Cricetulus griseus: one gene and its partners. The protein of the gene in region 2 purifies or fractionates together with the protein of the main gene of each other region. This does not show direct contact. Links are inferred from orthologs where the notes say so. Each region holds a gene or a part of one and is shown on either strand. Other genes may lie near its edges.

What was found.
Region 1: the proteins of Dis3l (region 2) and Exosc7 purify together in Homo sapiens (affinity purification with mass spectrometry; 3 studies listed by BioGRID and IntAct, counting the BioPlex papers as one, with this or other methods). This does not show direct contact. The link is inferred for Cricetulus griseus from reciprocal best matches to the Homo sapiens genes DIS3L and EXOSC7.
Region 3: the proteins of Dis3l (region 2) and Exosc8 purify together in Homo sapiens (affinity purification with mass spectrometry; 4 studies listed by BioGRID and IntAct, counting the BioPlex papers as one, with this or other methods). This does not show direct contact. The link is inferred for Cricetulus griseus from reciprocal best matches to the Homo sapiens genes DIS3L and EXOSC8.
Region 4: the proteins of Dis3l (region 2) and Mphosph6 purify together in Homo sapiens (affinity purification with mass spectrometry; 3 studies listed by BioGRID and IntAct, with this or other methods). This does not show direct contact. The link is inferred for Cricetulus griseus from reciprocal best matches to the Homo sapiens genes DIS3L and MPHOSPH6.
Region 5: the proteins of Dis3l (region 2) and Exosc3 purify together in Homo sapiens (affinity purification with mass spectrometry; 6 studies listed by BioGRID and IntAct, counting the BioPlex papers as one, with this or other methods). This does not show direct contact. The link is inferred for Cricetulus griseus from reciprocal best matches to the Homo sapiens genes DIS3L and EXOSC3.
Region 6: the proteins of Dis3l (region 2) and Exosc2 purify together in Homo sapiens (affinity purification with mass spectrometry; 5 studies listed by BioGRID and IntAct, with this or other methods). This does not show direct contact. The link is inferred for Cricetulus griseus from reciprocal best matches to the Homo sapiens genes DIS3L and EXOSC2.
Region 7: the proteins of Dis3l (region 2) and Gigyf2 purify together in Homo sapiens (affinity purification with mass spectrometry; 3 studies listed by BioGRID and IntAct, with this or other methods). This does not show direct contact. The link is inferred for Cricetulus griseus from reciprocal best matches to the Homo sapiens genes DIS3L and GIGYF2.

Annotation. Positions count from the first base shown.
Region 1 is NC_048597.1:230,037,164-230,041,400, forward strand, and holds the start of Exosc7 (exosome complex component RRP42), read left to right. Parts: upstream 1-1,350; 5' UTR 1,351-1,410; coding exon 1,411-1,467; intron 1,468-4,237. UniProt on the Homo sapiens protein: Non-catalytic component of the RNA exosome complex which has 3'->5' exoribonuclease activity and participates in a multitude of cellular RNA processing and degradation events.
Region 2 is NC_048597.1:175,958,131-175,962,553, forward strand, and holds the start of Dis3l (DIS3-like exonuclease 1), read right to left. Parts: upstream 2,811-4,423; 5' UTR 2,603-2,810; coding exon 2,464-2,602; intron 2,096-2,463; exon of another isoform or gene 2,021-2,095; intron 727-2,020; coding exon 573-726; intron 1-572. UniProt on the Homo sapiens protein: Catalytic component of the RNA exosome complex which has 3'->5' exoribonuclease activity and participates in a multitude of cellular RNA processing and degradation events.
Region 3 is NW_023276806.1:96,562,205-96,566,516, reverse strand, and holds the start of Exosc8 (exosome complex component RRP43), read right to left. Parts: upstream 2,880-4,312; 5' UTR 2,781-2,879; coding exon 2,764-2,780; intron 1,930-2,763; coding exon 1,893-1,929; intron 1,752-1,892; coding exon 1,688-1,751; intron 1,305-1,687; coding exon 1,231-1,304; intron 221-1,230; coding exon 175-220; intron 1-174. Other genes in the region: dolichyl-phosphate beta-glucosyltransferase-like, read left to right, coding at 3,495-3,627, 4,111-4,157. UniProt on the Homo sapiens protein: Non-catalytic component of the RNA exosome complex which has 3'->5' exoribonuclease activity and participates in a multitude of cellular RNA processing and degradation events.
Region 4 is NC_048596.1:194,428,621-194,432,281, forward strand, and holds part of Mphosph6 (M-phase phosphoprotein 6), read right to left. Parts: intron 3,010-3,661; coding exon 2,897-3,009; intron 1-2,896. UniProt on the Homo sapiens protein: RNA-binding protein that associates with the RNA exosome complex. Involved in the 3'-processing of the 7S pre-RNA to the mature 5.8S rRNA and play a role in recruiting the RNA exosome complex to pre-rRNA; this function may include C1D.
Region 5 is NC_048595.1:98,138,340-98,142,717, forward strand, and holds the start of Exosc3 (exosome complex component RRP40), read left to right. Parts: upstream 1-1,477; 5' UTR 1,478-1,486; coding exon 1,487-1,834; intron 1,835-2,390; coding exon 2,391-2,540; intron 2,541-4,278; coding exon 4,279-4,378. UniProt on the Homo sapiens protein: Non-catalytic component of the RNA exosome complex which has 3'->5' exoribonuclease activity and participates in a multitude of cellular RNA processing and degradation events.
Region 6 is NC_048599.1:143,403,275-143,406,433, reverse strand, and holds the end of Exosc2 (exosome complex component RRP4), read right to left. Parts: intron 2,447-3,159; coding exon 2,318-2,446; intron 1,671-2,317; coding exon 1,590-1,670; 3' UTR 598-1,589; downstream 1-597. UniProt on the Homo sapiens protein: Non-catalytic component of the RNA exosome complex which has 3'->5' exoribonuclease activity and participates in a multitude of cellular RNA processing and degradation events.
Region 7 is NC_048595.1:438,969,145-438,973,497, forward strand, and holds the start of Gigyf2 (GRB10-interacting GYF protein 2), read left to right. Parts: upstream 1-1,503; 5' UTR 1,504-1,627; intron 1,628-4,353. UniProt on the Homo sapiens protein: Key component of the 4EHP-GYF2 complex, a multiprotein complex that acts as a repressor of translation initiation. In the 4EHP-GYF2 complex, acts as a factor that bridges EIF4E2 to ZFP36/TTP, linking translation repression with mRNA decay.

The DNA of each region.
Region 1 (4,237 bases), about 54 Mb from region 2:
TAGTCTATCAGTGAGGGCTCAGCAGTTAACAATTCAGTACCTAGGAACATAGTCAGGCACTTCCTGCTGCTTTTTCAACTCACCTGGCAACCCCACTACAGCCACTAATCCACTATTACATCTCTAATCACCATGTTCTGCGGCTATGCTTACAGGAGCCTTCCCTTCTGCCCTGGAAGAGTCTTTGGTCAGAAGTTCTGTTTATTTGTTTTGTTAGCTGTGAAGCCATAGCGAAGAAACGCCCTTTTTTCTTCTTCTTCATCTTCTTCTTCTTCTTTTTTTTTTTTTTTTTTTGTTATTGTTCTTGGAGACAGGGTCTCACTATGCAGCTCTGGTTGTCCTGGAACTCACTATGTGGAGCAGGCTAACCTCAAACTCACAGAGATCCGCCTACCACTGCCTCCCAAGCACTGGGATTAAAGGTGTGTGCGTGGCCCGCACCTTTTACTTCTTGGTGTTTAGCTGTGAAGGGTTACTTTCCTCAAAAATAGAACATCAGGTAAGTGAAGTTTCGGCCAACTCCCCCCATTTTCCCACACAGTTTCTCTAAAATTCGGCTCCTAGACTATCTCTCTTCCTTAAAGGGCTCTCACGACGACCCCAGCTTCACCTTGCAGGCATCCTTTCTGCATATCCAAGTCCCATAATCTCCCAGGGACGGTTCTCTTTCTCAGCAGTCCCCTCCATCCAGGCATTCCGAAGCGCAAGGCGCTCTCCCTACTCTGCCTGGTACAATACTCCAGCAACCACACGAGCCCTGGGCCACTACCTGCTGATGAGCAGTAAGGGAGGAAAGGATAGAGCAAGAGGGGACAGAGAAAGATCGATCGATCCCTGGAGTGGAGGGTGGGAGCGGTGAGCAAACTGAGAAGCCGGAGCCTCACTCCCGGCTCAGACCCTCCGGGACCAGAGGGACCTAACGAGGCATCCATGGTCTCTTCAGCTATCCTGGGGACCCACTAAGAGGCTTCAGGAGATGGTCCCTCAGGGTGGCACGACTTCCGCCTTCCTGGGGCGTCCCGCGTGCGGCCACTTCGACTCCGGCCCCAGCGCGCTGGGGTGCGCGCTTCTCCCGGAGTCCCGGCTGGGGGCCCGCGCCTCCCTCCTCCCGGGGCTTCCTCTCCGCACTGACCGTCACTCTGAAGGCAGCTCGCAGTCCCGCGCCGCCAGCTGCTGCCCCTACCCCGGGGCCCGGCCTCCAGCGTCCGCGATGGCTCGGGCACCGGGCGCCGCGGCTTGCCGGACTCGGCCTCACACCGGGCGGCGCGCGGAGGAGAGGCCCATGGAGCTCCAGGCGGTGGCGGCAGCCGCGGCTGCGGGAGCGGCCGCCGCGCGGCTGATGACGCGCAGGCACGGCGGGGAGGGCGCAGGCTGATGACGCGCCCGCCGCGCTGACGGCGAGCGGGCAGCATGGCGTCGGTTGCGCTGAGCGAGGCTGAGAAGGTCTACATCGTTCATGGAGTGCAGGTAGCGCGGCGGCGGCTGGTGCAGGCTTTAGCGCTCAGGGAAGCGGTGCGGGCGGCTGCGCGGCCGAGACCACGCCCCGAGGCCTCGTGCGGCCTGCGGGAGGGAGAGTCCTAGCCCATCAGGGAGCGACGGGAGTCTCCCGGGGCTGCCGCCGAGTGAACGGAGGTCCGTGAGGACTCCGCGCGCCCGGGGCCTGCGCCCGAGATCCTGGAACCGGAACCGGGCCCGTGGATGGACGCCTGCAGACATTGCACCGAGAGAGACAGAGGCCGTGCATCCGAGGCGGAGCTAACAGCAGCCCGCATCCCTGCCACCCCCTAAAAGCGGGGACAGGAGGGAGTGCCCCTCAGTAGCAGAGGGCTTGCCTAGCACGCACAAGGCCTTGGGGGCTGGCTCCTGTAATCCCAGTACTTGGGAAATGGAGACAGGAGACTCGGAGTTTAAGACCAGCCTGAGCTATGAAGACCCAGGCTGAAGAAAAACCACACTCACACAGAGAAGAGTGGGGGAGTGATTTGGTTCTCTTTTGGCGGTGCTGAGAATCGAACCTCGTGTTCTTGTGCATGCTTGGCAGGCGCTCTACCACAGCCCTATTCTCAGCCCTTCGTTTCTTCTGTTTTGGGGCGTGGGGGCGGGGTCTTTGTATTCCATGCTGGTGTGGAACTCATATCAGTCCTTCTGCCTTGGCAGAAGGCATGCCCCATCACCACCTGGCTGGGAAGGTTTTCTTTTTTTTTCCAAAGACTGGTAGACAGTGGTATAGTTGTTGATTTTCCCGTTTTAGCTTAGATTCCTGGGTAGCTATAATGAATACCATGATGTGTAGTCCATCCTACTTACGGACATTAAAGAGAGAGAGGTGAAGAGTGTTAATCTGGCAACAACCTGTTATCCTGCAAACCTTCTCCCTGTGGTTGGTTTTGTAATGTAGCCATCAGATTAAGGCAACCTGTTACCTTTTAAACTCTATAAGGCAACTGAAGGCCATGGTCTTTTTTAAATCATGACATACTGTTATCTTCTGTGCTCCTTATAGAGTAGAAATGCCAATATTTAGTCAACAGGATCCAAACCCACAACTCTTTAGTTTTCAGTTCAAAGTTAAGAATAGAGAGGTATATGCCGAATGGTGTTGGAGGGAATCTTAAAATAAAGTGGTCAGCCCTGGGGGTGGGGAGAATGTTGCTTCCCTTTCAGTTATTTATTTTTTTGTCAGAAATGTGGCTTTGCCCTAAACCATTCATTCCACATCACTGGTCTTCATGGTGACTGCATTAAAAACTGTTGAGATTTAAATTCCTCAGATTGAGGAAATATTAAATGACCTGAAGAAAAAGTGGGTTCGTTGTATGAATTGGAAAGCTTCCATTCAGCTTCAGAGTACCTTCTCTCAAATAACCATAATGATCAGTGACTATCTCTAGTGATTTGTCTGCTTTTCTTTGTCAGACTGTATCCTTTCTCAGTACCCACTTGTCTAGCTTCCCTTCCATCTTGGTGAAATCTCCCCCCCCAAAAAAAAAACCCTGTACCTATAATTTTGCATGGCTTCTTCATCCCCTCTATCACATCATGGCCTAACAACTCTTTGCTTTTTTTGAAACAGGGTATCACTATATACCCTTGGGTGTCCTGGAACTCAGAGATTTACCTGCCTCTGCCTGTGCCTCCGCCTCCTAGGTTCTGGGAGTAAAGGTGTGTGTGCCACCATGTTGGGCTAGCCTACCAAATCTTAATTAGATCAAAGACCCAATTCCACTGAGAGAATTGGTCTGGGCTGCTAGTGGTTCGTTACAAAAAGAGCTGGTCACCCTCTGTGTGGCATGCCTTAGGTTACATATCTACCTCTGGCCCTATTAGAGGATGGTAATAACTCAGGTGGCAGGCCGCTCCAGGGCCTTATAAGCCCAGTGGGCTTTCTCTGGTCTATCTACTGAGTGTTTTAATTGTAACCTCATAGCCAAACTAGGTCATGGCTATTGATTAGGCTTTCAAAGAGGCTTCCCTCTTGGGGCTCTGTCTAAGCTATTTCATTTCTTTGTTCTTGGCTGTGAGAGGAAGACATGGCTCAGCTGATCTTTTCTGTATCTCTGCTCCTTTTCTATGGCTTTGCCTTTTAGCTTAATTTTTTATCTGGTCTTCATTGATAAAATTGAGAAGTCAGCCATCAGTTGCTCAGTCTGACCATTCAGAACTGAAACTAGTCCCCAGCACATTTCCTGTTTAGCCCTTTGCCCTTTCCATTTACAAACCCATGGCACAGAAAGCCTGTGCCCCATCTGTGACCTTATTGAGCCACATCTGTTGAATGGGATGCAAAACTGCTCAGGAGCATTGGAAAGAGAAATGACAATTGCCATCTAGTTTTACTTGCCATTTCTCGGGTCTGGTCCTGTCTAGTAAGAGGACACTTACGTCTCTGTTCTCCTCTAAGAAATGCTGAGGTACTGGGCATGTCAAAGCAAGGTAGATGGAGGGGTCACTTTCGAGAGCTACTTCTAGTCTGGAATCTTCCTGAGTATGTTGACGTAGTAACACCAATTGCCTTGAACCACATCCAAGTAGCAGAATTGTTATAACGACATGGGTAATAGCTATGCAGGTCACCAGGAGCTAGCCCAGCATCCAGAAGCCCACATTCCAAGGGGCTTCAATCTCTGCTGAGAAGGGCAGGGTCCATGCTGTCATGATGCCCAGAAAACTGTTCCCTTCCCTGTTAATTTCAAACTGGAGCCTTCAGTCTTGGGTGGCTGTCTTAAGTATTCAATAG
Region 2 (4,423 bases):
TTTAGGCACAAGGCAAGTATTTTAAACTGGTTCAATTAAAAATGTTTTGCTTAGCAAATACAATTACTATGGCTGATAGTTATAGGACTAATCTAAAAATAAGAATGAGCTACTTTTTTAATTTCATTGAATAAATCACTGTAAGTACAATTTGCATCCACAATAAAGGAAGATAAGATTTAAAAGTATTCTTTTACTGAGAAAAGAATGCTCCTGAAACAATGTATCTATAAATAAGAAGATTAAATAATATACATTAGCAAAAATAAAAAGAAACAATTGTGCTACCTATAAAAATGTAAACCAGAAGCCAATTCACGTGGAATCTTAAATACCTGCATCCCCAGGACACTGCAGTTTATTGATCTACAGTCAGATCTTTTGGCCAGGTGTTGAAGCACACATATAAAATGTTACTGCATTTCTCACCAGCAAAGAGAATACCAAATTAGTTTCAAAAATCCTTTCTGACAAAATAATGAATTCCTCCTCCTCCCCTCCAACAAAGGACCTTTTCTAATGGAAGTGGGGGAACTTTCACAATAAATAAATAAATAATGAAAACCAGATACCTCCGGCCTCTCTGATGCTGCACAGCTTGACAAGCCGTTTGCATGAAAATAATTCCCTTCAACTCGGGAAATTCAAGGACCTCAAGGTAATCCTGGACAACTTTCCAGTCTGGGATCACATAATGAGTCACTTCAGCAGACAAGAGCTTCCCATCTGAAACATAATTCAGAGTGGAAGCGATTAGGTAACATTTTCAAACCTGGTTTATGACTATTTCAATGTCACAGTGCCCCCGGTGTGCAAAATAACTTCTCATCTTAATTTCACCTTGAAGTTTTTAAAAGACAAGACAAATCTACTTTGGTAGAGGCTCCAAGTTCAGAGTAGATTCACAGCCACCTTCTCTCTCTTGAAGCTGTGATTAAATAGAAACCCTACATGGTTTATGCTATTGCCAGTTCTTCGGAGAGAATGACTGATATTTTAAAAACATCCTCGGCAGAAAGCTAAATTTCTATGAACTCATCACTGACATGCAAGAACATTCTAATGGATATTTACATATCCATTATATACCTACATATACACACATGTACACATATATGCACATACACGTAAATGCACAAGTGCACATATGTGTGTATTAACCACTTGTATGTACCTAAAAATTCCAAAGTTATTCTGAAGCTTCTGAACATGGCTGGCTACAAGGCTCTAAGAGAGCGATTCTCAACCTTCGTGGGTTGTGACTCCGGGGATGATCGGATAGCAGATGTTTACATTACGATTTATAACAGTAGCAAGATTACAGTTATTAAGTAGCAACAAAATAATTTTATGGTTAGGGGGTCAGCACAACATGAGGAACTGTATTAAAGGGTTGCAGCATTAGGAAGGTTGAGAACCACTGCTCTTAAGGGTTGAAGAGAATGTACTAGAAAGAATGGGCAGTATAAGCCGGGTGTTGGTGGCACACGCCTTTAGTCCCAGCACTCGGGAGGCAGAGGCAGGCGGATCTCTGTGAGTTCGAGGCCAGCCTGGTCTCCAGAGCGAGTGCCAGGATAGGCTCCAAAGCTACACAGAGAAACCCTGTCTCGAAAAACCAAAAAAAAAAAAAAAAAAAAAAAAAAAAAGAATGGGTAGTATGGTAGTATAGGCAGCTGTTTCGTCAAGCTGAAAAGACCTCCCATGCTCATCTCCTACTAGGGGTAACAAACAGCAACCCTACAGCCTGAAAAAAGGGAAATCAGGTCCCCAGCCCAAGGCTCCTGCCATGAAGAAGCTGTCATGCTGGAGGGTCTGCGTTCTGGCAGGAGCAGAGCAGGCCATGTCACATGCCCAGCAGTACGTTCGGGAGTCAGCCGGGAGCAGCCTCTTTCCAGCGGGTCTCCGCTATCTCACTGCCACCGAGCTGCGGGCGGAGGTGCTTTTCGGTCCCTTGGAAAACCCGAAGCACCCTGAGTCTCTGAGCCAAGGGAACACCAGGCTCGCTCTCGGTGCCCCCTACTTTTGGTCCGGCCACTGCAGTAGATGAGTCCCGCGAGTTGCACCCGGGTGTCGCCTGCTTCCCACCCGCAGGAGGGACTGCCTTACACGCAGAGAACGCTCCGCCGGGCCGCCTCCTGGGCTGCCCTGGTCCCGCCAAGCCCAGGCTGGGTTTGCTCGCTCTGGCTCCGCCCTTGACGCCAGGCCAAATCCGCCCTAGCTCCTCAGGCCCCGGCTCCTCTCTCCTTAGGTCCCCACTCCCTTCACTAGTGCCCAGTCACCATTATGACGCCAGGCCCGGGTTCCCTTTGCTCTTTGGGCCTCGGCCTTCTCTTTCCTTCGGCCCCAGCTCGCCTCTCTCCTTGGGTCCGGCTCCCTTCGCTCGCGCCCGGCAGCCCTCGCTACGTCAGGCCCAGGCCTCCCTCTCCTCGGACCCCGGCCTCCCCGGTCCCTCCCGGCCCTGACCGTTGCGGCAGGCGGCGGGCTGCGGGCAGAGCGGGCTGTTGCAGGGCACGCTAGGCCGCAGGTAGTGCTCGCGAACGATCCGCAGTGTCCGGCCCTGGAAAGTCCTCAGCAGCAGCACCTTCTCCCGCTTCTGTAACATGCTGGCGGCGTCGCCCGGCACGGCGGCCGGGAAGCGGCGGGCGGCAGCGGGAGGCGAGGCCGAGGCTTGGGGCCCGCCCCTCGGGCCTGGTCCGGCAGGCAGTGGTAAGAGCGGTCCCGGCACCGGGAACGACCTAGCTGGGGCCGATGGTCTGCCTGGCCCAGCCCAGCCTGCGCCTAGATTCCTCTGTAAGCCTTAATTGCCCCAGAGCCGGAAAGAGTGTGGATAAACTGTTGACCCCAAGGACCAATGGGCATGACGGTAGGATGTGACAGCTAGTCTAAAAGTCTCGTGTGAAAAGATTATTTTACTTTGTTTCTACCCACGGGCCCTTGTGGGAAGGGCTGCCATATTAACAGGGGTAATAACTAGAGTTTTCTCCTCCTTGCTTTTGCAGTACCTAAAATAATCGAAAGGCCCAGCCAAGCTGGTAACCCGGCTGGCCAAAGATGTTTTTCCCTTCAAAACGTACTTACTTTAAATTTTAATACATGTAAACATTCAAACACTACAGATAAAATAAAAACCAGTCCTTCTGGGGTAAACACTCTACAACTTTTATAGCGTTGACAGCCTCTGGCAAAGAACTTCTTAAAACTGCTATTGACACGATCATTAAGTACTGTGCTTATAGCTCTTGACAAAAAGGACAGTATCTCGAAGACCACACACCCTCGCTTCTCCAAGCACTCAGCCTACTGAAACTATGGTTAGCAGCTTCATACGCAAGAGTCTCAATTAACTTCCATAAATCAAAGGAGTGGGCATTTATTTGTATTCCCATTTTACAGGCTGTGAGGCTGCATTAGGGAGCTTAAGTGGCCAAGGATACCTAGTTATTAAGTGACAGAACCAAAGTTAAGCTAGAAACTGGTTAACTCCAAAGCAAGTTCTTAAGTACCATCTATTCACAGGTGAGTAACTAACTCACAGGGCCTGAACCTAAGGAATTTACTGCTTGGCAAGCTCTGGTTAGCTGGCTGGCCCAGTTTCCAGTTGGCTGGAAACATGGGGTGCTAACAATGTTGCTGAATTAAACCAAGTCCAGTCTCTCATTTCACCCTAAGGGAATTGCATAAAGAGTCATGATTCCCTCCTCTGTGTACCTCTGTGTCAAGTTACTCACAGTGAAACTCAAGGTGGACTTGCACAAATGGGAAAACAGTGTAAAGCTGGTACACAGGCAAGGAGAGTCTCAAAAGCTATATATTTATGTATAATTATATATTATATATAACACATAATGATAATGTATCATCTAATACAGGAGTCAGTTCCAGAGGGCCCAAAGGACAGTGAGTAGCTAAAATTGTTCCCTATATAGAAAATGCTTTGACAACTGTCCACAAATCCCTCGAAGTTCCCTTTCTATCTTTTTAAAGCCTCTGGTTCTATGGGACTAGAGGAATGACTTTGATTAGGTCCTAATCTGCCCTTAATATCTCTCTTCAGCACTTTGTGGCTTGAAATTGTCTGCAAATGAACGATCCTTTAAGGAATAGAGCATATCTAGGGTTCTACCGAGAGTTGATTTTTATCAATATTTAAAAAAGACTGGGGATGTAGCTTAGTTTGTAGAGCTCTTGCCTAGCAAGCACAAAGTTCTATCCTATGCACCAAAAACATTAAAACAAAACAAAACAAAACAAAACAAAAAACTAGATGGGTTGGCACACAGGCCTACAATCCCATCACTTGAGAGTAGAAACAAAAGGATCAAAAATGCAAGGCTCTGCTGGAGAGATGGCTTAATGGTTAAGAGCACTGGCTGTTCTTCCAGAGGACCCTGGTTCATTCAAGTCCCAGCACCCACATGGCAGC
Region 3 (4,312 bases), on a different chromosome or scaffold from region 2:
GTTCCTGTGATGTTCTCTGTTATAATCTAACAAGCAGAAAGCTTGAGATAAGGGGGGCATTATTCTATTTCTGAATATAGGGAATCACTGCCTAAATCATCAGCACTTCACTACAAAATAGTTCGATTTAAACTTACTCAAGTATTTGCTAAATTACAAGAGCATTTAACTCACCAACATATCCTCTATCAGGGGCATCTAGTGGTGGTGCTGCAAATTCCTACAAAGCAAATACATGTATTCCAGTGAAAGAAACAAGAATAGACTATGAAGACATTCTAGCAATTAGTTACAGAGGCTGTACCAAAAGACCACATCAGCCAATTATCCCATATTTAGCATCTACAGTGCTTGGGGATCACGGCAGAACCCGAAGGATACTGGCACTGCCCTTCCCAACGATTCACAGGAGAGTTAAAGAAGTGCAGTGCAACCAGACTGCTGTTCATAAAGGTGATGAGGACTAGTGGGCTTCTGCCCCACCTCTGTGTACTTGTTTGGGTGCCAAGAATCTGAGTTTAATAACAAATTAATATGGCTAGACTCAGTAACTAGTAGTAACTAGCCCAGCTCAGCTGTAGACCCACAATTTCTAGGCTGAGAGACTTGGGGCACATTATTTGATCTTATAGGTTTCTCTGCTGTCACAGGGACAGATGTCTTATAAGTTTCTCTGCTGTCACAGGGACAGATGAACGGTACCTGCCTACTCCTAGGGCCTACTCCCAAGGCCCAATGAGACAGTGCCATTAAGTTCTCAGTATAAATCTGGCAAGGAGTAGGTGTTCTAATAGTTATCACTTCAGCTTGACAGTACCACTAAAGAAAGAAGAGTCCCTCAGAGTAAAGTCAGAAAGCACAAGTTTTGTCATCAGACTCTATTGTGAGCCTCACACACCTGGGGAGGCTACTGAGCTTCATGGGCTGAGCAGGGTGGAGACTGGTAATTCTGTAAAGTGCCTGATAAGGTGCCCCAACAGCAGGTGGCCAGCAGAAAGCTACTGTCCTTTGTGCCTAACAATTACAAACTACCGATGGCTAAAAGGTATCACTAACAATCTCATTTCAGAAATGATATTGCCAAAATCCGAAAAGTATGAGGAGTAGCTAAGAATCAGTTGTAGGGGGCAGGGATTACAATTCTAAATTCTGACCCCCAGTTAAATTACAACCTCGTAAGCATGAAGCTAATTTGGAGCTCTGCTATCAACAGACAGACAGTGAACTTACTGCTTTAATTCCACAAATGACTGTGGTGTTCCCCAGCTTCACTAGAGCAGAACCGTCAGCTGTACTGATTGAACCTGGAAAGGTAAGCATGGTATTTATTCAAATTCCTTTAAAAAGCAAAGGAAAAAAATACACAAAGTATCCTACAAAGCAATTTAAATGCTTTGGTTTGTATGGTTATCTAGGTAGACCTTTCCAGCTGTCTCTGGAATTTTTGACAGGTTCAGGTCAGTGATTTGAAAATGGTATTACTACTTAATATCTTAATTTCTTCTTCCCCCCAATTTGAGCTAATCAGGTTTAGATAAACTACAAAGATGGTGTAATGATAAAAATCTCTTAACATCACCAAATGCCTTAGGCATAATAGAACTGGTTGTAAAAAAAAAAAATGTGGCACACGGGATGGGGGTGGAGTGGGTGGTGTCCCACCAGGCCAAATGAAGTGTATCTTCACCTATGTTAACAGTTGTGGTTCTGAATTCACCAAGTTCTCTTCCATCAGGTCGGCAGTTTTCTTTCTAAATGTTTATAAGGAAATAGGTTACATATGTATTTCACTTATGCAGGGGAAAACACATTAAGCCTCATTAATTTAAGTGAATTGAAAAACTGTGCCTTGAAGCATATTTTTATTAAGGCAGTAGCACACAAATACTCACCAGAAACCTCCTGTAATACTCCAGTGGTTCCACAGTTCTGAAACATGTTAAAAATGTGTTAAAGTGAGTCAGTGCATCCTAGGGCATAAACCCACAACTTAAGAGTGTGTTGCTGAGGCATCGATCTCCACATGCTCAGGTATTAACCATATTTATAAAAAGGTCTCTCCGGGCAGTGGTGGTGCACGCCTTTAATCCCAGCTCTCGGGAGGCAGAGGCAGGTGGATCTCTGTGAGTTCGAGGCCAGCCTGGTCTCCAGAGCGAGTGCCAGGATAGGCTCCAAAGCCACAGAGAAACCCTGTCTGAAAAAAACAAAAATAAACAAAAAAACAAAAACAAAAACAAAAAATTCTTACAGTAGCAACCAGTCTTAATAGGTGAACTAACTGTGCCCCAGTCAGGAGGACCGGAGTCCAAGGCCCTTGACACACTTAGAAGAGGATTAACTTGGGTGGCAGTCATGTCACTCTAGTTCTGAAAGAGGGAATGCAGCCTCTGATGTCAGGCAGTAAGCAGCATTAGCACTACCTCCAACTTTAACGACCACGAGGAGTGTTTTTGCAGCTACGGGAGCTACGTTGTGGACTCATCAACTACACCCCGTCAAAAGTTACAGCAGGTACGTGTGGCTGCACTCGCTGACACACGAGTTGGCGGTTTACACGCGTGAGCAGCCTGGGACTTCATCAGAGCGCCCACAAATGTTTTACCGTGGAGAGTGGGGTGGCGCTCGGTTAAGAGGCCGGGGCCGTCCTGGCTGCGCCGTCCCTCAGCGCCTCCCGTGGGGAGAGCCCTCCCGCCGCCCCACGAGTACTCGGGGTCCCCCGCCCGCCGCCACAGCCGCGCCTTCTGTGCACGCGCACTCACTCACTTGAATCCGGCCGCCATCTTCCTGCCCGCACCGCGCCTGCGCAGCCCGCCGCGCCTGCGCCCTTCCCTCTGCAGGCGTCTGCCGCCCAGGAGGCTTGGAGGACTCCTGGGTTAGAGAAGCCCCTCCCTCCGTGGAGGCTGTTGTGTTCTCAGGGACCCGGCATGAACAGCAGCTCCGACTCGCCCGGGCGACCCACCATCGCCTGGTTAGGTCCAGGCCTCTTGGGGAGGGCCGGGTCGGTACTGTCACAACCGCCGGTGACACCAGCTCCCACCGGCCTGTGCGCACGAGCCCATACACACAATACAAGTACGCGTAATTAGGGAGACTCCAAAACAGTCCATGTCTCCAAGCCTCCTTAGATGGCTGCATGACATGTGTGTGAGGCTGGTAAGTGCCATCAGTTCACAGATGTCCCCTGTGTTTCAGAGACCCGTGCAATACTCTGTGGAGCCGCGCGAGGGTGCTGCCGGTCGAACCCGGGTCTTGCCATGGCTGGGGGCAGCCATTGTCTAGTAAGGCCTCTGGGGGGGAAGGAGAGGAAGCTTATAGGCAAGAGTGGAGATTCAGGATGGTTTAGCTGTCGCTGCAGCTGGCAGGGATCTGTGTGATGCTGGTCTCCACTGTGCAAATGATAATGTTTTAGCATAGCAAATATACGAGACCAATGTAACATAACTTCCACATCTGCCTGTAGGTTCCTGTTGCTGCATTTATAACTGCTACAAAAAATGCCACCATGTCACCAACATGAAGAAGAGAAAATTCTTCCTCAATGGCAAAGTCCAGAAGGAAACTACCCAGATTCTGGGACTCACCTAGCAAAGAGTTGTCTGTTGTGCCTTCCTACAAGGAAGAGAAACTGTAATTTCTACTTGACTTCATTCACTAATGGGTACTTCCCCCCCCCACCCCCCTTCGAGACAGGGTTCCTCTGTGTAGCTTTAGAACCTGTCCTAGAACTCACTCTGTAGACCAGGATGGCCTCAAACTCACAGAGATCTGCCTGCCTCTGCCTACTGAGTGCTGGGATTAAAGGCCTGTGCCACCTCGACTGCCCTCTAATGGGTTCTTTGAGAAGAAAGGGAGTCCTGCAGTGTTGACAGTCACTGAGAGAAGTGCATGGTTGGCAGCTGTGATTGGGAAGAGGGGAAACTTCTGGAAAGACTGAAGTTTTCTAGAAAAGTCCTATGATGAGAACAAGGGACAATCTGAGAGAGAATGGCCTGAGTGACATCTCAGAGGGTTTTGGTAGATGACAGGCACATCTCCCTATGTGAGTGGAGTATGCTGGGCTAGCTAACTCATTTTCAAAAGCAATCTGTAAAAATATTTTTTTCCCTTTAGTGCCTGTGATGATGGATGAAGCCCGGAGCTACCTAGAAAAGAGACAGGTATCACTTTCAATGTTATATCTCTAGGTAAAGCTAAAGGAGGCCAACAGTTGTTGATCCCAGCTAGGTGCACTGTGGAGGCAGGCCAGGCATGCAGCATGCTACGCCAGAGTTAGACCACAAAGCAGGCTCTTGTCTGTCATACCCCCCCACCT
Region 4 (3,661 bases), on a different chromosome or scaffold from region 2:
AAATGCCCTCCCCTGATAATGAGATTGATGACTGACTTATATGCCACCCGATAGCCCTCATCCAGCAGCTGGTGGAAGTAGAAGCACACACCCACAACTAATCACTGAACTGAACTGGAATCCAATAGCAGAGGATGAGTGATGAGCAAAGGGGTCAAGACCAGGCTGGTGAACCCCACAGAAATAGCTGACCTGAACATCGGGGAGCTCTTGGTTCCCAGACTGATAGCTGGAATACCAGCATGGAACTGATCCAGACCCCAGGAACATGGGTTTCTGTGAGGAAATCTCGGAAATCTACGGGACCTCCTGTGGTAGTTCAGTACTTATCCCTAGCATAGGTGTGGATTTTGGGAGCCCATTCTACATAGAGGGATACTCCCTGAGCCAAGACACACGGGGGGTGGGGTGGGGGTGGGCCACGAGAGACTCTGATGACACCCTATGGAAGGCCTCACCCTCCAGGGGGAGCAGAAAGGATATGTGATAGATAGGGTTTTAGTTGGGGGGTGGGTTGTAGGGGAGGGAGAGGAACTGGGATTGACATGTAAAACAATCTTGGTTCTAATTCAAATTAAAAAAGAAAAAAAATAATTATAAATGTATTATAAATATACATTTATGAAACATGATTCAGAATTTCAATGAAAATATGAATGCAAAAGAAACAATCATGAAACTGAATTTTAAGTGAAAACTGCAGGAAAGTAGCAGATATGAATTCTACAATCAAGAAAAAAAAAAAAAAAAACAGTCTGAGGAAGGAAAATGCCATGGGCAAGATGGGGACACCATGACCTGGAGGCTGAAGCAGGAAGGCTGAGTTTAGAGACTAGCATGGGCTGCAGAGTAAGACCTTGCTTCAAAGACAGAGTACAGTCCTGTATCTACTAAAGAACAAAGATCTGACTTCCTTAATGAAAAATCTTCTGGATAAGAATACTTCAGACCCCAGACCGCTTCACTGCTGAAAATATGGTCAGCACTCCAGAAGAAACAATGGAGTATTATCAACTTTATACAAACTGGGAAAACAAGGAGGTATGAATACTTAGCAACTGACCGATGGCCCAAGTCAAAGACACTTAAACAATATACTTTAACAATTTTTATGAATATAGCCACAAATTATTAATAAAAAATCATGGAACTGGCACATGTCTACAATCTCAGCACTCAGTAGGCCCAGGCCGGAAGACTGGGAGTTCAAGACCTCTTTCTCTCCTGACACACACAAAAAAATAGATGGCTTTCATGTTCAGAAATTAAAGTAATTCCTGACATTTTAACAGAAAACAGTAATCATCTTTTTAAAATTAAACAGCAAAAATATAACTTGCCCTTAGTTAACTAGGGAAAAGAAACTAACCCTGCTGATGAGACGCATCTGCCAAAACACATAGCAGGCTGTACCTGGAATGGACAAGCCAGTGCTTTTCTGAGACATCTGCTCTCAGCACTTCTATTCAACCCATCAAATAACACAAGGAAAGGAAATGGAGGCTGAGGTTCTGGGATCCCCTGGGCTGCCTGTGCCCTCCAGCACAGAATTAGCTCCTATACCATGCACTTACCTCACAGCTTCCCTCCATGTCACAGGAATAAGATGGCGAAGTTATTTATGCCTTATTTACCCAGGAAAGGAAACCCAAAAGTTATTTTCTGAGACCAGTATGTTGTATTAGAAAAAAACAAAAAAACAAAAAAACATATCCCAAATGAGGCAGAACTGTCTTACCCTTTGGTAAATAACTAGAAGACTGTGCAAACTCAACCAACACATAAAATGACTGTTCCTCATCAATACTAGTCCCCTCTGCATACTCCTGGTCACACTGTCCCTAGGCTCATCATCTGTGCTAATCCCCCTGCACACTCCTGTTTACACTGTTCCTTGGCTCCTGTCTGTGCAGTCCCCTGAATACTTTTCTTCACACTATCCTTGGCCTTGTCATCTGTGTTAGCCCCCTGCACACTCCTATGTATACTACCTCCAGGTTTCATATGCTACTCCCTCCCCCTAAGCCCACTCCTATGCATATTATCTTTTGGAAACTTTTCATCTTGATTAATAGTTAGAGCCTGTAAGAAGCACACAGATTAAAAAAGTCACTTTTCTTGGGAATCTGGACTTTCTCTTCCCAGAAGAATATGTCACCATCCCAAAGGACTAGATAAAGTAAAAAAAATAAAATAAAAAGAACAACAACACAGCTAACTAAACTGCAAATTAACAAGGGGAAAAGGGAAAGACAAATATGTATCTAAAAACAGTAGGTAAAATGTTCAGTCATTTTAACAAAAGTGTAAGTAAATAATATACCATACTGAGGTAAGAAAATGAACAAGCTAAAATGCAACACAACTTGCAGGATTTAGACAAAAAGATGAGGTGAATCTACCACTGTCCAACTCAAGACTCTTTCATGTATTAGACAGGTTTGGAAGCAGAACAAAAACTACCTTAGGTATTACCCAGCTTCTGTCCCTCCAGGCAGTTGGCTCTGGGAAAAACAACTCTCTTAAGCTCCAATTCCTCAACAGCAAAGGACACAATGATGCTGGGTATGCTTGGGTTTCTGTATTTATTAACTAAGGGAAATGAAATGCTTAGTTTAGGATAGACTACCAATATAGCAATGTTTGTGACATGAACGGTATTCAGTGTAGTACTGATACAAACAAACACACATCCCTTGGCCTACCGAAGGACAGTTACAGAAACAAAGCTGGTGAGGCCTGACGGTATAATAACCCATCTTTGGGCCTTTGTTTGAGTCCATGTGGAACACACACAGATTAATAGTTTTTAGAAGAAAAGGAAGCACTGCACTAGAAGGATGAGTCAGCTTTACCGGGCTTCCCAAACCACGGTTACAAACCCCAGTAAACCTACTCTTTCTCCTTGAACTCTGGCAAATCCAGGTACCAGTGCTCATCGCTGATCATCTTCTTTTCCTCCTCTTCTAGCTGTTTCTTGGTTTCCGAGTCCAGGCCTCTTTGCATGAACTGCCAAACAAAACCGAACTGTGTCAGTGTCCTAGCTCATCTGTACCATGGGTACACAGGCCACCTAGCAGACTAGTTCAGTAACAGTCCTCTGAATATCAATGAACCTGGACTTGTTTTAGCTTTCCAGATTCCCTTGTGGTTCAAGGTTGCCCCTACATTCCTGGTGTAATCCTAACTGCCCTATATCTTCCATTTTTCCTCACCAGAAACTTTAAGGTACACAGTCACACATATCTACCTTGGATAGAGAGAACAGAACACAATATGGCTGTGAATAAAGCACATCTAGGTTTAGGAAGAAGTTCAATTTTGACTTCACAGTCTTAGGACAGACTTTAGATCTTGCTATTTCATTCCCCTCACTCAAAACTGAGGGTCCAGAGCAGACTCTGGGAAACCACAGCCCTCAGGGTGGCTCTCTATGGTCTACAGTTTACCGTAGCAGTCATGCTGATTCAGTTCTGGGCAGTAATGGCAGAGCTCAGTAGTACATGGGTCCTCACTGGCCTACAAGTCTAGAACATTTACTATCTTGTCCCTTACAAAGCACAAAGTCCTGTCCTAAGGTTCAGAAAGGAACCCAAAATGCACCATCTTTACCCAAACCGTCACCCTGGCAAACCTTCTACCCACATCCTTCTGTCCCACC
Region 5 (4,378 bases), on a different chromosome or scaffold from region 2:
AGCTTTATCCTCCCCCCACCCCATTCCTTCTGCCTTGCTAAAAACCGTTAGATCACATCCCTAAAGCTACTCCCAAGGTCTATTCCTTCATTTGGCTACTTTCTCCTTCTGAGACTGACTACCAAAGTCCAGCTATCAAAATCCCCCTTTGGTTCACCTAATTAACATGCCCAATCTAAATATATGCTAGCATCCTAGTCTATTTTGATGCAGACCTCTTTTTTCCCTTCTTAAAAACTACACCTTCAGGCTGGAGAGATGGCTCAGAGGTTAAGAGTACTGACTGTTCTTCCAGAGGTCCTGAGTTCAATTCCCAGCAACCACATGGTGGCTCACAACCATCCGTTATGAGATCTGGTGCCCTCTTCTGGTGTGCAGATATACATGGAAGCAGAATGTTGTATACATAATAGATAAAATCTTTTTTTTTTTTTTTTTTTAAAAACTACACCTTCAAAGTTACTTGCTGTTTTTCTGCCCGAGTCAGAAAGCAGCCACTTTAATTTTTCTTCCCTGATTAATAAAGGATCTCTCTGTGAAATAGGTGTTTGAGGAGTGTGTGCTTCTAATCCGGTCCAGGAGAGAGCCCCCTGCCCCCCCATTCGGGCTTTCCTTCAATTGGTGTGCTCCAAAAGAAATAGGGGCAAGAATTGTTCTGAGTTACTGATTTTCCTAAGCCATGTAGAGATAACTCAAGTAGGTGAAAAGGTGTGATATGTGTTGCGCGCGGGGGTGGAGTGGGGGTGGCGGGGGGGGAGCCCTAGAGTGTAATACACATAAGTGTTACATCTATTATGTACAAATGATAGGAACTACAGCTGAAAACACAGCAAAGGAGACAAATGAGTAAGACTTCCGTTGTTCTTTCTTTTTAATAATTGATTTTTATTTCATATGCATTGGTATTTTGTCTGCATGTGTATCGGTGTGAGGGTGTTAGATCCCCTGGAACTGGGGTTACAGGCAGCTGTGAGCTGCCTTGTGGGTGCTGGGTCCTGTGGAAGAACAGCCAGTGCTCCTAAACCATGAAGTCATCTCTCCAGCCCCTATTGTTGTTCTCCCATTCTTTATATTTTACAGAATTTAAATTGGTAGCAACGTCCAAACAAGTCATACTTTGCAAACCCTTTTTTCCCAGTTAAAATTTCAGCCACCTTTCTGTAGGCTGAATGGAAAGTAAAGCCTCCAAACCCAATACCCAGGGGCCCTTAGTTCCAGCACCCGTAGAGACTAAGCCGAAAGACCTGACACGGGATGTGAGGGCTCCAAATGAACTCCAGCTGGGCGTCTCTTTCACCCACCCGCGGAGAAACCACAGGGTGGGTGGGCTGATAGCTCAGATACGGGTGTTTGGGGGTGGGGAGGAGGGGGTACCGAAGAGAGGATGTGACTGGTTGGCGGTCTGAAGTCTATTTCAGAAAGCCCACAAAAACCGGAAAGGGATAACCCTGGAGGGCGGGCTCTTGGATGCGGAAGCGGAAGTAAAATGCCGGAAGCTGCGACGACTCCTGCTATGGCTGAAGTACTGTCGGTTGGGAAAGAATCGGTGGCCGGCTGCCGGGCGCGGGTAGCGCACAACGTGCTGAATCAGGTGGTTCTCCCTGGGGAGGAGCTGGTGCTGCCGGAGCACGAGGACGTAGACGGCCTTGGCGGCGCCGGGGAGCAGCCTTTACGTCTGAATTCGGGGGCGCGCCCGCGGCTGCGCGTCGTGTGTGGCCCGGGTTTACGACGCTGCGGGGACCGCCTGCTGGTCACCAAGTGTGGCCGCCTGCGCCACAAGGAGCCCGGAGGAGGCGGCGGTGGCGTTTACTGGGTGGATTCTCAACAGAAGCGGGTGAGCGGACGTTGGAGAGGCCGTGCTGCTGCGATAGTGGAATCCCAGTTCTGGGAAGACTCCCTGCAGCGGGGAGGAGAGGATGAGCTCAGCCTAGAGCCGCGGTGGCTTCTAGGTCCCCTCTGCATCTTCTTTAGAGGAACCACAGTAGAAACACAGCTTGAGAAGGGAGAAAGGAGAAAGGGGCTAGAAAGTAGGAAGCCGCAGGCGTGCCATGTGGAGTCCCAGTTTCAGTGAGTCTAAATAACAGGGAGTTAAATTATTCGTAGAGTAAGAGCTTTCATGTAGAAGTGTCTAATGGGTGGGTTTCCTTGACTGTAAGGATTCTTGTGCCGCCGGATGTATAAAAGATGCTGAAGTATGAAACCTGACTCAGGTCAACTACGGATTAGAGACAACAAAGTTGGATTGGTGCGGCCCGGTTTTGTAGTCCCAGCTACCTGAGGAATATGAGTTGGGAGGATTGTTTGAGACCCATCCTGAGCAACCTTGCTAAAACTTACTGCATATATGTTACAGTAGTCTTTTATGGTTGTTCTTTCATTATGTTTTGCAGTACGTACCCGTGAAAGGAGACCACGTGATTGGCATAGTGATTGCTAAATCTGGAGATATATTCAAAGTTGATGTTGGAGGGAGTGAGCCAGCTTCTTTGTCTTACCTGGCATTTGAAGGAGCAACTAAAAGAAACAGACCGAATGTGCAGGTAATGATGGGAGCCTTTGGTTTCAACAATAAGGCAAAAATAGCCACTCCCCAGAAATTTAGCTGCCCAGAGGACTTCCTGATTTGTCTCCAAAGCATAAACTATCCTTCAGATTCTCCAAGATAGTTCCTTAGGCGCTGCAGCTCCAGAACCAGTGCTGTGTTCTTGGTTCTTCTCTCCCAGGTTGAAGGGTTATGTTTGCTTCCCCTTGTTACCTGTGAGGTTCATATCCATATCACAAGGAAAGTGTCCCTAGTCTAAGGGACACTGGTACTGTCAGTCATCTATCTCTTCATCTTGGCTCTGAATCCTTGGAGCTGACAGAAGAGTGATCTTGTTACTACAGGATTTCTGGTTGGTTTAGCTGTATCCTTCCTGAGGATACATGTGAGCCAGAAATTTGATGGCATCTGTGCTACTTTTCTTTCAACTCTCACAGGTCTTGAGTCATTTGATCTTATTTGTTCCATCTCTTGTCTTTTGCATGCCTTATCCCTTTGTGTCTATGAGTTCAAGCATTTGCTCATTTTTGACAAAACTGGGCAGCAATCTCATTAACATTCCAGCTTCCATCTGTTAATATCCTCATGTTGACATTCCCTTTTTAAAGGTTTTATATGTGTGGATTTTTTTAAAAAAAGATTTAAGTATATGTGAATGCTCTATTGACTTTATGCCAGAACACAGCATCAGATCCCACTATAGATGGTTTTGAGCCACTATGTGGTTGCTGGGAATTGAACCCAGGTCCTCTAGAAGAGCAACCAGTGCTCTTAACCACTGAGCTATCTCTCCAGCTCCCATATTCCATTTCTTAACAGGAAAAAAAATGTTCAAATCATAGAGAATTCATTGGCATTGTGCCCCAGGGGTCTTCCCTCATATTAGCACTTCATGCTAATATGCTTAAGTTTCACAACACCACTGAACTTGGTTCCTTTGGGTCTTTAGTAATGGTGCTCTTCTGTCTGGATTGCAGTCTCTCAGCCTATGAGACAGACATCCATCCATTGAGATCCAGGCTAAGCACGACTATGTAAAGTCATTCATCATCATCACTTTTCCTGTATCTTTACCATGGTACTGGATTTATTCTTGAACTTGTCATGAGTTTATTCATTCTTGTTGCCCTGTAGAAGATCACATGTTCTTGAAAGGCATAAAGTGTCTTATGATTCATTCCCTCTAAGTTTTGTAGTCACCCAAAATGGTGGGTACTTAAATATTATTAATGTATGCATATCGAGGGTGTTTTGGCTCTATGTATGTATTTGCCCTCTATATGACTGATGCTTGTGGAGGTCAGGCAGGAAGGTCGGGTCCCCTGAAACTTAAGTTATGAATGGTTGTGAGTTGCTAGGAGGGTGCTAGGAACCAAACCTGGGTCCTTTGCAAGAGCATCAAGTACTCTTAACCCGTGAGCCATCTCTCCAGCTCTCAACAGTGGGGATTTTTAATGTTGAAATTCATTCTGTTTCCTCAGCTTCATCATTTTAAAGTTCAGTTTTGTAACATTTTAAATCTAGAGCTGGATGGTACTGGTGCACACCTTTTATCCCAGCACTTGGGAGGCAGCAGCAGGCAGATCTCTGAGTTCGAGACCAGCCTGGTCTACAAGATCTAGTTCCAGGACAGCCTCCAAAGCCACAGAGAAACCCTGTCTCAAAAAACCAAAAAAAAAAAAAAAAAAAAAAGGATTTCTGGATGAAGGGAACTTTTCTGCTTTTCTGTCTTATAGGTTGGAGATCTCATCTATGGCCAGTGTGTGGTTGCTAATAAAGACATGGAACCAGAAATGGTCTGTATTGACAGCTGTGGACGGGCCAATGGAATGGGTG
Region 6 (3,159 bases), on a different chromosome or scaffold from region 2:
ACTGTACCCCAGCTTCAGGTAGCCTGGCTTCTGGATAAATCAGGACACCGTTCTCTTCAGTGCTGAGCTGTCCTATTGCAGCTCCAGCCTCCAGAGTTGTCCTAGGTAGCCTGGCTTCCTGAAAAGCCAGGGCACCTTTCTCTTTAGGACTGAGCTGTCCTATTGCAGCTCTAAGCAGCCTGACTTCCTGATAAGTCAGGACACCTTTGTAGCTCCAGAGCTGTAACATACCCACTTACATTTTAGTGCCAAAACCCAGCACTCACATTTGCTTACAGTCTCTGTATAGCCTTGGCTTTGTAGACCAGGCTGGCCTTGAACTCAAAGTGCTGGGATGAAAGGCATGTGCCACCATACCCTGCATCCAAATCAGCCATTGCTCAGAGATGTCCTTGCCTAGTAGTATACACTAAGCCCTAGGCTCTTTCCCTCACTCTGGCAGGCCAGTTTAATGGTAAGGAGGGAGCTTGCTGCCAAGCCAGATGACCTCAGTTTCATCTCTGGAACCCACATTGTAGGACAGAATGGACAAGTGCCCCTGACTTCCACATGTATGCACTCACACCCATACACAAAAATAAATTAATACACACAAAATAAGTGGGGTAAAAGTATGTTAATTGAAAAAATGTCAATTTGGGCACCATTTCTGGTTTTGTGTAGTGAGATAGTCTCACTGTGTAGTCCAGGTTGGCCTCACCTCTGCCTCTGCCTCCATGTGGAAAACATAGGCCTGCACTGCCATGCTGGACCAGGGTACCCATTTTTAAACAGTCATAAGAAAAACAAAGCATAGGAACTGGCACTCTACATTGAGGACTTGTATCATGTTCCTTTTAACTTTAAATTATTCAAAAGTTAATACATCACCACATCAATTATACAAGGAAATGGCTTGGCTTTTCACAGCTGCCTTTCATTTTGGTGGTGGTGTGTGTGTGTGGGGGGGTTGTCAAAGCATCCAAAAGCACTGTGGTATATAGATTCCTTGAACCAGTCACCAGAATGACACACAGTGGGAATCAGGTTCCAACAAAGGTTGCTGGCTCATTTTATTCTTCTATCCACCTCACTGTTGGCCTAACTCTACCACCTCTTCTCCAACCACATACTTGTGCATTAAAGGGATGGAGTAGAAGTCCAAACAGACCATCCCCATTGGCCCTGCATGTCTCTCTTTTTCTTTGGTTTTCTTTTTTTCTGGGGTGGGGGAAGAGCTGGGAATTGAACCTGGGGCCTTGCACACATTAGGAAAGTGTCCTACCCCTGAGCGCTACCCCCAGTCCGTGTTTTCTAGTGGAACAGTTCCATGGGGTGCTGGGTGGTATGACTGGAAGACATGGATTCTCCAAGTTACTCCAAGATATATCATCAGACTGGGACAGCGTGCTCTGAAAGGGACCCAAGTGTCCAAAGCCACCAGAACACAAGAGAACAGGCCTGGCTCTGCTGTGCCGCTGCAGGTGAATAATGTGTTTGTCAGATCCTCCCCGGGCCACATGTAGTGAAGAGTCACCATACGGCAGACTCTTCCTTTCCAGAGAGGCTGCTCCTGAGAGGCACACAGTCCCATCCTTCAGCACCTGGCCTCACCCCTCCTGTTCCAAAAGCCTTTGGCGTGTTTCTAGCATGATCTCCTCCATTATTTCTGGCTTTAAGATATCTTTGATCTGAAGAAAAAAGAAAAAGGTATGTGTTCATTCAGAAATAACCATAAGCAGAACATCAAGTCAACTAAATGAGGCAAGAAGTCTGGCTAAAATACAGTGTAGTCTGCACTCCATCAGAGACTGAGCAAGGACACTGTCTCAGCTCCATACCCAGCTTAGAAAGCAAGCCAGCAAGGTGCCTGGGACAGCTGACAAAGACACTGTTCAGTCACTCATCAGAAGACTGTTCTTTCAGAAAACTCTGGTTCAGTTCCCAGCACCCACATGGCAGTTGACGGTAACTCTGGTTCCAGGGGATCTGATGTTCTCTTCTGGCCTCCCCAGGCATGCATGTGGCGCACAGACTCATACACACGAAGGCAAAACACCTATACACATAAGACATTTTTTTTTTTTAATTTGAGAAAAAAAAATCTATTGACTTGAAAAAAAAATCAAGAAGATGGCTGAATTTTTAGAACAGGTAAGATGTAGTATGGAAAGCTATTGTCATAGAAAAATCCTACCTACAACCCTATCCTACATCAAATCCATAGCAATAGGGGATATACCTCAGGGAACATGGCAGGGACTCATTGGAAGGAAAGCAGAATGCTGAAGAACCACAGGACCAGCTTACACAAGGGAAGGGAGTCTGGGTGGAGTACCTGATGTGCAAGGGAGGCCTCATAGCAGTACAGGATGCTGGTGTCATACAGCATCATTCTCTGAGTTACGAGCAAGACTACGCAGTTCCGAAGCCGGGAGATCACCTCTCGATCACTAAGGGCTACCGGCTACACAGGGACACAAAGAGGAAGGAAAAAAGAAATACAAACAGGATCCAAATAAGCAAACAATCCCAAAAGCCACAGAAGAGAGAAATCACACTCATTTCTACCATGCACTCCATGCCACCCTGCTGGGACAATCTTTATGTACACCGAGTGAAGATGTGTCTGTCCTTCTTTTCGTGCCGAAGGCACCTTCTGATTGGATTAATAAAGAGCTGAATGGCTACTGGAGAGGGTAGGTGGAAGATATAAAAACTCTGGGAAAGGGGCTGGGCAGTGGTGGCGCATGCCTTTAATCCCAGCACTCAGGAGGCAGAGGCAGGCGGATCTCTGTGAGTTCCAGGCCAGCCTGGTCTACAGAATGAGTTCCAGGACAGGCTACAAAGCCACAGAGAAACCTTGTCTCAAAAAACCCAAATTTAAAAAAAGAAACTCTGGGAAAGAATCTGAGGGGCAAGAGATTCACCAGCCAGACAAGGACATGTGCTACATGGCAAAATGTAGATTAATATAAACAGATTAAGTTATAAGACGTTGTTGGGAACAAGCCTAAGCTAAGGCCAAGCTTCCACAATTAATAAAAAGTCTGTGTTTTCAGAAGCTGGCAGTCCAAAACAAGACCATTTAACAAGCTGTATTTTTTTTTGTTTATAATGTGTACACATATAAAAGTTCACGTGTGCATATGCCCATGAGTGCACATGCATAGGAAGGTC
Region 7 (4,353 bases), on a different chromosome or scaffold from region 2:
CCTGGTTTATAAAACAAGTTCTAGGACATCCCAGGTTGTTACACAGAAAAACCCTGTCTTGAAAACCACAGAGAGGGAGGGAGGGAGGAAGGGAAGGAGAGAGAGAGAGAGAGAGAGAGAGAGAGAGAGAGAGAGAGAGAGAGAGAGAGAGAGAGAAGCTTATTTTGGCTCACAGTTCAAGAGTATAGTCCACCTTGGCTGGGGAGTCATGATGGCAGGAGGTTGATGTGGCCAGTTACATTGCATCCAAGGTTAGGAAGCTGAGTATAATGAATTCTTTGAATGCTTCTGTACAGCTTGCTTTCTCCTTTTTACTCAGTTCAGGACCCCAGCCCATGCAATGGTATTTCCCACTTTACCTACTGTGGGTTTTCCCGCATCAATTAACATAATCTAGGTAGTTCCTCACAAATTTGCCCAGATTTGTTTCCATGGTGACTCCAAATCCCATCAAGTTGACAGTCAAGATTAATCATTACTCTTCTGAATTTAATACCCTTTTATATAGTTTGACTTTGAAAGGGAATCAAGACTCAGGGAGGGAGTCAGAGAGGGAGGTTGGCATGTGTGTATAAGTTTCCAGGTATTGAACCCAGGGTTCCCAACAGGCTATGTATTCATTCTATCACTGAGCTCTGAAACTCCAGTTATCAACATTTAATTTTAAGGTAAAGCCATGTGAGTATATTTGTAAAAAAAGGAAAAAGTTGATGGGAAGAGCTATGTTGAAAAGGACTGGAGGTTGTAGTTCACTGGTAGTGTAAAGCCCTGTTTTAATCCCAAGAAGTAAAGGCGGTATCCAGGGCAGGAAAAGACTAATGGCGCCAGAAAGACCATGATGACTTGAGATGGTAGCTCTAGCAGGTTTAGCAACTAGTAGTATGTCCAGGTAAACATGGGTTCCAGAAAGACAGCCGATAATTTCCTGTCTTCTGTATTGCTGAGTTTCCTATCCTTTAGCTAGCAGCCCTAAAACCGGAGCACGGGATATAAAGGGGTGGTAGGCCGGCATGGAGTAGGAGGGAGTCAGAACTTTAAAACACTTTCCAGCTGTCACATTCCAACACTTTAAAATGAATTTCCATTTCTACCAGAAGGGAAACTGCTTTGAATTTCAGCCTCGCCATTTGCTCCATGATGGGCAAACTGGCAGGACAATGCTAGGCCAAAAGCTATGGAAAAGTTGCAGCTTGGAAATCCAGCTCCCAAGTGATGTGGAGATTCTTGTACTGCAAAGGGGCACTGGATTGGGTGCACTGGAAGTGAGTCACAAGGGCCTCTGGCTGGGCGGGTTCCAGCTCAGGCCACCAGCTCAACTCTAGGGCCGATTGGAGCTTTAGCCAAAGGCCCCAGTGTGCGCCTGCGCAGCCGCTGCTCCGCCCTCTCCCAGCCCTGCATCCGGGTCTCGGGAAGGGGCGTGCCCGGCCGGAGGGGCGGTCCGCAGAGGAAGGGAAAGATGTCGTGGGAAGCTGGAGTGCGGGGAGGGAGGGAGGCGGGGACGTAGGCGGGCCAGGGGGCGGGGCGGCGCGCGGGGTCACGTGACGTGCGTGGCGACGTGTCGGCCATCTTGTGTTGTTGAGGCTGAGGATTGACTTGGGTTCTGAGAGACTCCTGTCCCGGACCGCAGGTAACCAGTGGCTCGGTGTGTCTCCCCTGCCCGCGGCCATCCCGCGCCCGGGCCCCGCCGTGGCGCCCCGAGCCGCCGTGGCCTGGCGCTCACCGTTGCGTCCCCGCCGTTCCGGCCCGAGCTGGCCGCATGGACACACTTGAGGCTGCCCGGCAGCGGCTGCGGCCGGCTGGGGGCGTCAGACGTGTGGACAGGGCAGGTGCGGGGTCGGCAGGAGCTTCCTCTAGTGCGAGGGCCGCCGCGGGCCGGGCACGTCCCGGCCGAGGGCAGCCCCCGGCCTTCGCCCCCGTGGCATCGCGGGGGGAAGCCGAGGAGAGGAGGCGGGAGGCGGGGTGGGCAGTGTCAGGCCGGAGGGCTCGCCTTCCGCTGCCCGCTCCTCGGGGCCGGCCGGCGGGCCGGCCGCCCGCGCAGCCTCGGGGTGCCCCGGCTAACAGCTGCTGGGAGCCGACAGCTGCTCCCGCCGGCGCTCCTGCCCGCACCTGCCCCGGGGAGGTGCGCCCTGGCCTTCCCCACCGAGCATCTGGACTCGGGAAGACTGCTTCCTCGGCCGGAGAACTGGTCTGGAGCAGGCCCCAGGCGAGGTGGAGTCAGGATCTGATCCTGGGACTGAGAGGCTTGGGAAAGTAGAGCCCCGGGCAGCTCCGGGCACCGGAATGTTCGTTCACACCGGGTTGAAATGGGCAAGCAGTTTCCCACGAAGCACTCTTGAACACTTGAGTTTTGTATGCGAAATACCGGTCAAGTGAGCGGGGAAGGGAGGCTGTGAGAGAAGCAGGTTGTGTCACCGCGTTTGGGAAGCAGGAGCGTTGCTTTGCATTTATCTAGTAGCACTGTGTCCCCTCACCTCCCATTTTCTTGAAAGTCAAAGCACTTAAACACACCTAGTGGCTCTATTAGGAAGGTAAGTAGTCCAACATAACATAAGAAATTAAGGGACATCAATCCGGGATGGCTTCCTACCATTGGATTATAGGTAGTTTGGCTCAGAGTGTTGTATTTAGGGACTGTAGTCTTCTGTAGTTTCTCCTAGGAACAATGACTTCCTAGATGACAAAACTTATCATCCTTTTTGTTTATTAATTTTCATCTTTTTTTAAAGGATTTTATTAATTATGTATACAACATTCTGCTTCCATGTATATCTGCAAATCAGAAGAGGGCACCAGATCTCATAGAGGATGGTTCTGAGCCATCATGTGGATGCTGGGAATTGAACTCAGGACCTCCGGAAGAGCAGTTGGTGCTCTTAACCTCTGAGCCATCTCTTCAGCCCCCAATTTCCATCCTTTTAATTTTAGTTAGAACACATACTTTGTCCTCACTTAATGGTGCTTTCCTAGTGTAGCAGCATTTGAATTGCTTAAACTAGGGTATATACTTCATTGTCACATTAGAAGACACTAGAAAAACATTTAGAAGTCACAGGTATCTGGAAAAATAGCACCAACATTGAAAAGTTAACATTGATATGATGTTAGTGATCTGCTAGAAAGGAAAAGACCATACATACCTGTTTTGGTACTTGTCAAGGATTTTACGGTTTTGTGGCTGGGGAAGTAGGGACTATATATTTTTCGACAAACTTTAAGTACTTATGTCGTATGCTGAGGACAAAAATATTTGTTTCTGTGGAGTCATTTCTAGATATCTAAATACTTAAGTAAAGATACACAAGTGTTTCCTAACGTAAACTGATTGAAAGTTGAAAATATTTTAAGCTGAAAATGCATTTAATACAGTCAGCCTGCTGCCCATCTTACCAGCAAAGTCGCTTGTAGAATCTTGATTATTTCCTTCTCATAATTGTATGGCTGGATTGTGATTTTGTGGCTCTCTGTTCCTAGCCAGCAGTGCCAGGAAGTATTGTACCACATATTGCTAACTCAGGTAGAAAAAAAGAGATAGGGAGACAGGGTATAAGAGTTGTGGGAAGGGTTAATTTTTTAATTTAGTCACCTGAGGAGACTTACAGGTAAGTTCAAATTTGAGGAAACACCTGATAGGTAGAGGCAGGGTACTTCAGCCTGAGAGTCAAAAAGGGCAAAAGACCCTGAGACAAAGCCAAATTTAGGCTGGACCTATCAAGGGCTTGCTAGGAAGAGCATGAGAGTGACCAGCCTGGAGAGATTTAAGTGAGGAAGAAACTGATAGCAATGTGTCTACAGACCTCTTTTGGTAGGAAAATGAGATAGATCATTCACTGTTGTGGAATCTCTTCTTTTCCCTTGTGACTGTGTGTGTGTGTGTGTGTGTGTGTGTGTGTGTGTGTGTGTGTGTGTGTGTGTCTGTGTGTGTGTCTGTGTGTGTGTCTGTGTGTGTAACCCAGGCTGGCCTCAAGCTTGATATTTTGCTTCAGCCTCCCAAATGCTGAGCTCTATGGAAAAGGAAAATCCGGATTCTATAGACTTGAGCCAATATCCCTCCCTCCCTTACATTTGGGAAACTCGGTGTTCAGTTCATATGTTTAGGGAATTCTAATGAATTATTTTAAAAGTAAGTTTTTCTTAGATGTGATTGGTGTTAAGTTGCCTGGAAATACCTTTCAAAAGGAATGGCCTTTAAAGGAGGGTATCCCAGCTTCTTGACTGAAGTAGGAGCACTGCAAACTCAGGCTGGTAACTTGGTGAGACACTGAGACTCAAAAGAGCTAGGAATAAAGCTCAGTGGTAGAGCACTTGCCTTGCTAGCATGCCTGATGACAAAGTTCAGTCCTCAGTACTGCTAAA